Linked DNA regions of Sus scrofa. The protein of the gene in region 2 purifies or fractionates together with the protein of the main gene of each other region. This does not show direct contact. Links are inferred from orthologs where the notes say so. Each region holds a gene or a part of one and is shown on either strand. Other genes may lie near its edges.

Evidence for each region.
Region 1: the proteins of PHB (region 2) and VDAC2 purify together in Homo sapiens (affinity purification with mass spectrometry; 4 studies listed by BioGRID, with this or other methods). This does not show direct contact. The link is inferred for Sus scrofa from reciprocal best matches to the Homo sapiens genes PHB1 and VDAC2.

Annotation. Positions count from the first base shown.
Region 1 is NC_010456.5:77,773,380-77,777,191, forward strand, and holds part of VDAC2 (voltage-dependent anion-selective channel protein 2), read left to right. Parts: intron 1-1,357; coding exon 1,358-1,510; intron 1,511-1,601; coding exon 1,602-1,654; intron 1,655-3,145; coding exon 3,146-3,373; intron 3,374-3,812. UniProt on the Homo sapiens protein: Non-selective voltage-gated ion channel that mediates the transport of anions and cations through the mitochondrion outer membrane and plasma membrane.
Region 2 is NC_010454.4:25,595,848-25,599,833, reverse strand, and holds the end of PHB (prohibitin), read left to right. Parts: intron 1-762; coding exon 763-858; intron 859-2,211; coding exon 2,212-2,424; 3' UTR 2,425-3,314; downstream 3,315-3,986.

The DNA.
Region 1 (3,812 bases), on a different chromosome or scaffold from region 2:
ATGAGAATGTGAAAGGTGGTTAGAAAGGCATAAAACCTGGTGACTCTTTAGGAAAACAGAACATTGGGCTTACCAAATAATTTTTTATTTATTTTTATTTATTTATTTATTTGTCTTTTTAGGGCCGCACCTGAGGCATATGGAGGTTCCCAGGCTAGGGGTCCAATTGGAGCTATTGCTGCCGGCCTATACCACAGCCATAGCAATACAGGATCCAAGCCACGTCTGTGACCTACACCACAAATTACGGCAACGCCGGATCCTTAACCCACTGAGCAAGGCCAGGGGTTGAACCTGCAACCTTATGGTTCCTAGTTGGATTCTTTTGCACTGTGCCACGATGGAAACTCCCAAATAATTCTTAAAAAAATCTTCTTTGGGAGTTCCTGTTGTAGCTCAGTGGGTTAAGAACCTGAGGATGCAGGTTCTATCTCTGGCCTTGCTCAGTGTGTTAAATATCTGGTGTCGACTCAAGCTGCGGTTAAGGTTGAAGAGACGGCTTGGATCCCATGTGGTCATGGCTGTGGCGGTGGCTGGCAGCTGCAGCTTTGATTTGACCCCTAGCCTGGGAACTTCCATATGCCACAGGTGTAGCCCTAAAAAGCAAAACAAAACAAAACAAAACTTTCATGGCATACATTCTTTTAATGGGATGCTTTCCCTTTAAGAATTTTCAGAAACTATTTCATAGTAAATTATATCAATTATTATACACTGATTTTGATGAAGGGGGTCTGTGGTTAGTCATACTGACCTACTTAGTGTTTTACTCAGGTAGATTGGAAGCAGTACTGAAGCACCTGTTCCTTTTCTTCCCCTCACTGGGTTTGTTTTTTTATGGCTGCACCGGTAGCATATGGAATTTCCTGGTCGGGGGTGGAATTCGAGTTGGAGCAGGAGTTGCCAGCCACAGCATCAGAGTTGAGCCACATCTGCAACCTACACTGCAGGTTATGGCAACACTGAATCCTTAATCCACTGAGCGAGGCCAGGAATTGAACCCACATCCTTATGGATACTAGTTTGGTTCTTAACCCACTGAGCCACATTGGGAACTCCCCCCTCACTGGTTTTTGAATGCCAAATGAAATCATCTTAGCAGAAGTTTCCTTAAAAGCTGTATACTTTGTTGTTCAGTGACAATTTGTTGGAAATATCAGCAATAATAAGATGGCACTCAGTAACTTGCAGGCTAACTTGTCACTCTTGTATATTTGGTAGTAAAGGGTAGCAGTGTTTGGGAAGCTAGAAAAAGGATAGTGAAGTTGTTTGAGTAGGGATTTTTTTTGTATGTGTAAGTTAGTGGATTCTTCTAGGCTTAAGAGAAAGTTCATGATGTTATTTATTTTCTTGTTAGGAATTCTCAACATCTGGTTCATCTAATACAGACACTGGTAAAGTTACTGGGACCTTGGAGACCAAATATAAATGGTGTGAGTATGGTCTGACTTTCACAGAAAAGTGGAACACTGATAACACTCTGGGAACAGAAATCGCTATTGAAGACCAGGTAACATTCTGAAAGTGTGCTTTACTATTATTTATTTTTGTATTTCAAAGGGAAATAAAGCTGAAAATAAATTCTTTTTCTTTCCAAATAGATTTGTCAAGGTTTGAAACTGACATTTGATACCACCTTTTCACCAAACACAGGGTAAGCATGGACATTTTTATTTTTTAATTTAAAAAATTTTTTTTGGTCTTTTTCCTAAGGCCGCACTTTGCTCACCTGGAAGTTCCCAGGCTAGGGGTTGAATTGGAGCTGTAGCCGCTGGCCTACACCACAACTCACGGCAACACCGGGTTCTTTAACCAGCCGAGTGAGGCCAGGGATTGAACCCACATCCTCATAGGTACTAGCGGGTTCGTTACCACTGTGTCACAACAGGAACTCCATGGACATTTTTATCTGCTTTAAATTGAAAAGCATTCCTCTTCTGTATTTAGGAAAGGTGCGTATTTACTGTTTGATAGCTTATTGAACTTCAGCTGCCTTATGGCAGATTTCCGTTTCTGACTTTGGAGCATGAAGCATACAGTTGTTCGCTTGCCTTCAAATATTTGCCTTTTATCATTGTGGCACTAATTTGGGCAACTGACATGTGTACCATAGGCTTTTGTGACTGATAGCCAGTTCTGCAAAACAGTCTTCCTGTGGTGGTGGCAGCAGCTCCTTTGCCCCATGTGCCCTCAGTGTGTTCATTGAGCTTGATTTGATTATCCTGCTACCTCTTTTACAGGCAAACCTTGGAGATACTGTGGGTTTGGTTCCAGATCACTGCAATAAAGTGAATTTTGTAAAAAAGCGAGTTACACAGGTTTTTTGGTTTCCTAGTGTATGTAAAAGTTATGTTGACGTTATACTATTAAGTGTGAAATAACATTATGTTGGGCGAAAAAATGTACATGCTTTAATTTAAAAATACTTTATTTCTGGAGTTCCTTGGTGGCTCAGTGGGTTAAAGATCTAGTGTTGCCACTGCTGTGGTGTGGGTTTGTTCCTTGGCACGGAAACTTTTATATGCTGTGGGAGTGCCCCCTCCACCCCCAAAAAATCCAAAAACTGCTTCTGAAAAATGCCATCTATCAAGAGTTCCCCTTGTGGCTCAGTGGGTTAAGAACCTGAGTAGTATCCATGAGGATGCAGGTTTGATCCCTGTGGCTGTGATATAGGCCAGCATCTGTAGCTCCAATTCAGCCCCTTGCCTGGGAACTTCCATATGCTGCAGGTGCAGCCTTAAAAAAAAAAATGCCAGCTTCACCTGAGCCTTCACTGAGTCATAATAGAACATCAAAAGACCACTGACCACAAATAACTGTAACAGATATAATAATAGTTTTAAAAGTTTGAAATAATGTGAGAATTACCAAAATGTGACAGACGCAAAGTGAACAAATGCTGTTGGAAAAAACACCAGTAGGTTTGCTTGATGCAGGATTGCCACAAACCTTCAGTTTGTGAGGGGGAAATGGCCGTATATGCAAAAGCACAATACAGTGAACTGCGGTGAAACAGTGGGATGTGCCTGTACTCCCCAGTTATACTGTAGTTCATTTCAGTAGGTTTTGTGCCCTCTGTGCAGAAGTTAGGTATGTAAATCTTTCCCACTGGCATCACTTTTAAGTCGATTTGTTCTTTTTCCAGGAAGAAAAGTGGTAAAATCAAGTCTTCTTACAAGAGGGAGTGTGTAAACCTTGGTTGTGATGTTGACTTTGATTTTGCTGGACCTGCAATCCATGGTTCAGCTGTCTTTGGTTATGAGGGCTGGCTTGCTGGGTACCAGATGACCTTTGACAGTGCTAAATCAAAGCTGACAAGGAATAACTTTGCAGTGGGCTACAGGACTGGGGACTTCCAGCTACACACTAATGTGTGAGTATTTCTTTTGTGGCATATTATGATGTAGGACCTCAAAGTGATATTAATGTCTGATGTTATTTTCTGTGATTCTGGGTACAACCCAAAGGAGTTCTCTTAACATAAAAAGATCATCTTTGGGCATTTCTAGAGTGCCCCTCAGAGATGTATACGTGTTAGACTGAGACACATTAGTTTCAGTTTGGTGCTGAAAGAGTAGATGTTTATTTCACATGAGGCTTGATGTGCTTTGGGTTTTTAGAAGAGGCCAAGACATTACCAGACTCTACTAGTGCATGCATTTAAATTGATTGTGATGTGTGAGGTGCTCATTTGATAGGATTGCCTAAAAGGTATAGTTTTTATCTAACCCAAATTAAATGTATATGTGGAAAGGACTTAAAAAGATTTCTATCCCTTATAAAAATGATGCATTGGTAAACAACAGAAAAAG
Region 2 (3,986 bases):
AAGTCACCCTAGACCAGGCCTTAGAAGTGCTGGGATCCCTTGCACAGTCTGAACTGTCCCGATGCGACTGTCTCAACACTTCAGCAATGTCTCGGTCATGCCTGTTACTAGGGAAGGTCTGTGGGTGATCAGAATTTTAAACCTTCACCCTAAGCGATATCTTTCCCTGCCTTCTCTTACTCTTCTGCCTTGACCAGAAGCACTCAGGCACAGGCAGTACCGTGGTTTGCACAGTCCCGGTTTGGAAACCTCACCCGTCCTCCTCCTGTTGCGTGGTGGAGGCGCTGTGAGGAACACGTGGACTGGTTAATCCATAAGCACCAAGCATCATGCTCTTGAATCCCTGAGAACCAGCTGCATCCCTCCCTCTCAGGGGCTCACTTTTCCATCTGGCTTCTCTGGGGGCTTCCAGCAGGCCATCAAAGGACCCTGGAAGAGCACTAGTCAGCGGTGGGGGTGCTGGAACCCCCCATGTCTCCTCCCCTAGGGAGGTGGTCAGTTGAGTGATACCTTCTGGCGCCCGTGGGCTGTTTCCCACCCGAGGGGGCAGCATGATGCACAGGGGCACTTTGGGCAGCCGCGGATTCTGGAAGTGCACTCAGGTAGGGCACGGATGTGGAGGTGGAAGGGTGTTCTGGCCTCATGATGCCTCCAGCTGCTAGAGCCATTCCTGGCCTCTTCCTCCAGCGGCCATGGGGGCCTTGCAGCAGCGCTGTCTAAGCAATTACACTGCCTGGTCTCGCGCTCACTCTCTCCCCTTAGACGCATCTGACCTTCGGCAAGGAGTTCACAGAAGCGGTGGAAGCCAAACAGGTGGCTCAGCAGGAAGCAGAGAGGGCCAGATTTGTGGTGGAAAAGGTGAGCGCTCAACCAGATGGCAGGAGCCCCTCTCCCCCTTCCTCCTGTGCTCCGCCTCCCGGTTTGCTGGGTGGCCTGGAAATTCATCATCTGTCATCTCTTCTTCCGGGACATCGGAAGGGGATTGAAGGGACTCTGCTCCTGCAATTGGTTCCAGAGTCTTTGGGGTCCAGTCAGGGATACGTGGGGTTATGTTCCTAAATCACTGAAGGGTAATTTTTTTTCCACTTCCCTAAGATCAAAAACACTCTCCCACAAATAAAGATGTTCCTTCTGGAACATTTTCAGCTTCACTGAGAAGTCGTTTTTAACCATGGTTACACAGTGAAAGCTGACAGCAGAAAGGATCAAACGTTGCGCCAGATGTACCATCATCACTGGATTTTTTTTTTTTTTTTTTTTTCCCTCAAGCACTAAATCCGTCCAGATGTGTCAGAATGGGCTGGGACACAGCATGTTTGCATGGAGCCTGGTCTTTTGGTCTTTGCAAAGATGTATTTGCTTCTTGTACCCCCTTCGCCCCCCGACTAGTCGTCTTGGGTTTATAGTCCTCATCCAAGGGGGTCCTCAGAATCAGAGAATAGAGGGGTTTATGGGTAGACGTTTAACTCCAGAGCATATCACTCCGTGTGGGTGGCGACTTCTTGCTCTCCTTCCTCTCTCCAGCACCTAGAACCTGTCCACAACCGTGCCTGGGCCTAGATGCTAAGGATCACTTGTTGAGTGAACAGTCCCAGAGCCTCCGTTTAACAGCTGTGTGTCCAAACAGCTGTGTGTCCATTGCCGAGAGGCTTGGCACTGTGCTCTCCTCCCGTCCTTCTGAAGGTCGTGCTGTGCAGGTCGATGCCATCCTGTCCCAAAGGGTAGGGAAAGCCCAGGAGAGCTCGTCCTGGTCAGGAAGCAGTTTAGCTCCTGTCTAGGGAGCGTCCCCTGTCTGTGGTCCTTCCGAGCCACGCTGGTCTTGACCGAAGTCGCTTTGACTTGGAGCTGGAGGGAAAGACGAGGGTCGGTTCCTCCTTCTTTCTCTCCTGGTTTCCTTGGCCTGGGATCCTCAGAGCAGGGGGGCTGCATTGCGTTGTTATTCGTGTTCTGGAGGACTGTGAAACAAGACAGCGGTTTCTGCAGCCACCAGAAACATGTCCCTGCAGGGCTGAGCAGTGGGCATGATGGGCGAGCGGAGGATTGGGCGGCCAGTGCTTGCCGACCCCGCCTGCAGGGGGCGGCCCATTCCCAGAGTGCCTTTCAGGGCCCAGTGAGGGCGCCTGACCGGGTGCTTTTGAGGCCGTAGCCTGCCGTCCGGCACCCCGACCTTGCTGTGACCTTGGTCTCCCTCTGCCTCTCCGCCCGCCGTAGGCTGAGCAGCAGAAGAAGGCAGCCATCATCTCCGCCGAGGGCGACTCCAAGGCGGCGGAGCTGATCGCCAACTCGCTGGCCACTGCGGGCGACGGCCTCATCGAGCTGCGCAAGCTGGAGGCCGCGGAGGACATCGCGTACCAGCTGTCACGCTCCCGGAACATCACCTACCTGCCGGCCGGCCAGTCGGTGCTCCTCCAGCTGCCGCAGTGAGGCCCGCCCCTCCCGGGGCCACTGGACCCCAGCCCCGGTGATCTCAGCCGCTCCTTCCTTCTCCCACCCCAGAAATCACTGTGAAACTTCATGATTGGCTTAAAGTGAAGGAAATAAAAGTAAAATCACTTCGGATTTCTAATTACTCTATCAGACGAAGCTCTTTCATTCCTCTCATTTCCATCCCCTCTTTTTATCCACCTCCCCACCAAAAATTGCCAAGTGCCTATGCACACCCACTTGGCTCCCGTCTCGGGGGCCTGCTGGCGCTCCCACCTAGGCACTGGCAATGGGCAGAAGAGAGGCAGGGCTGTGAGTGGGACGAGCCGGGCAGGACGCTGGTGGCCTCCAACCGATCAGTCATTCAAGACCTGAGGCCCATGCAGCTGAACTGCGAACACAGGCCTCGGTTTTTTTCCAGTGGTCCCTGCACAGAGAGGTGCTGGGGAGGGTCCGAGAGGAAGCGATCTGTCTCTCAGCATAAGGCTGATTCTCTTTAACTGGGGCCAGCGGAAGCAGGTGTGTACAACCGACGTGGACTGAAAACTCTGCCCCTGTGAAGGTGGGTGGGCCTGATGTGCTGCCCCTCAGGGTCCTAAAACTGGAGTGGACTCGGCTAGTGAAAGAGCGGCCCTGGACCGAGATGTGAGTCCTGCAGACTTCCTGTCCACCCCCCACCTTGGTGTCAAGTACCGGCGGAATTCCAGCTTGAAGGATTGCATCCTGCCGAGGCTGCACAGGCCTGCCAAAGACGTGTGCGTCCTGCGTTCCTGGCTCCCTCGTTCAGAGACTGCCCTTACAGAGGGCTCTGCGCCTGTGCCTTGAAACAACCACCAGAAGAAAACAAGTGTGTGTAAACTGCTATCAATAAATGACATCCAGACCTCCCAGCTCAGTCGTAATGGGTTTGGTGTTTTCACTTTGTTTTCTGGGTTTTTTTTTTTCTGGTGGCAGGCGGGGGCGGGGGGGGGTGGTGGTTGCTTGTTGGAATTCATGGGTTGAGGACAGAGCATTCTAGTGGTTTTTGTGTGCTGGTGTTTGTATCACCGGCGAGGATAGACTCTCCGGCAAGGCAGAAAATGCTTTGGTTTCAGAAGACACTGCTGTGTTCCAGGTCCAGCTGCAGCCGGAAATAATCGGTGGTGTCAGGTGAGGTTGGTGGCAATGTGGTTTCCTAGGGAGGTGAGGGTGGATGGAGGTTCATTTACCCGTGGCTTTTGGTGCCCCTACAAACTGAGCGTTGTAGGCCCACCACCAAACGAGAGATGGACATAAAACACCCGTGTGCTAATAAGCCCTCCATGCGCTCTGGATAGACTTTGCTTTTTTTGGCCACCCCGAGGCATATGGAGTTTCCGGGCAGGGATTAAATCTGAGCTACAGTTGCAGCTATGCTGGGTCCTTTAACCCACTGGGCTGGGGCCAGGGATCAAACCTGCCTCCTGGTGCTGCAGCAATGCTATGGATTCCACTGTGCCACGGCGGGAACTCCTAGATAGGTGTCTACATTCATCAGATGGCTTCAGGTGTCCTGCCTGTCGTGGGCTTGTTTTGCTTATTCC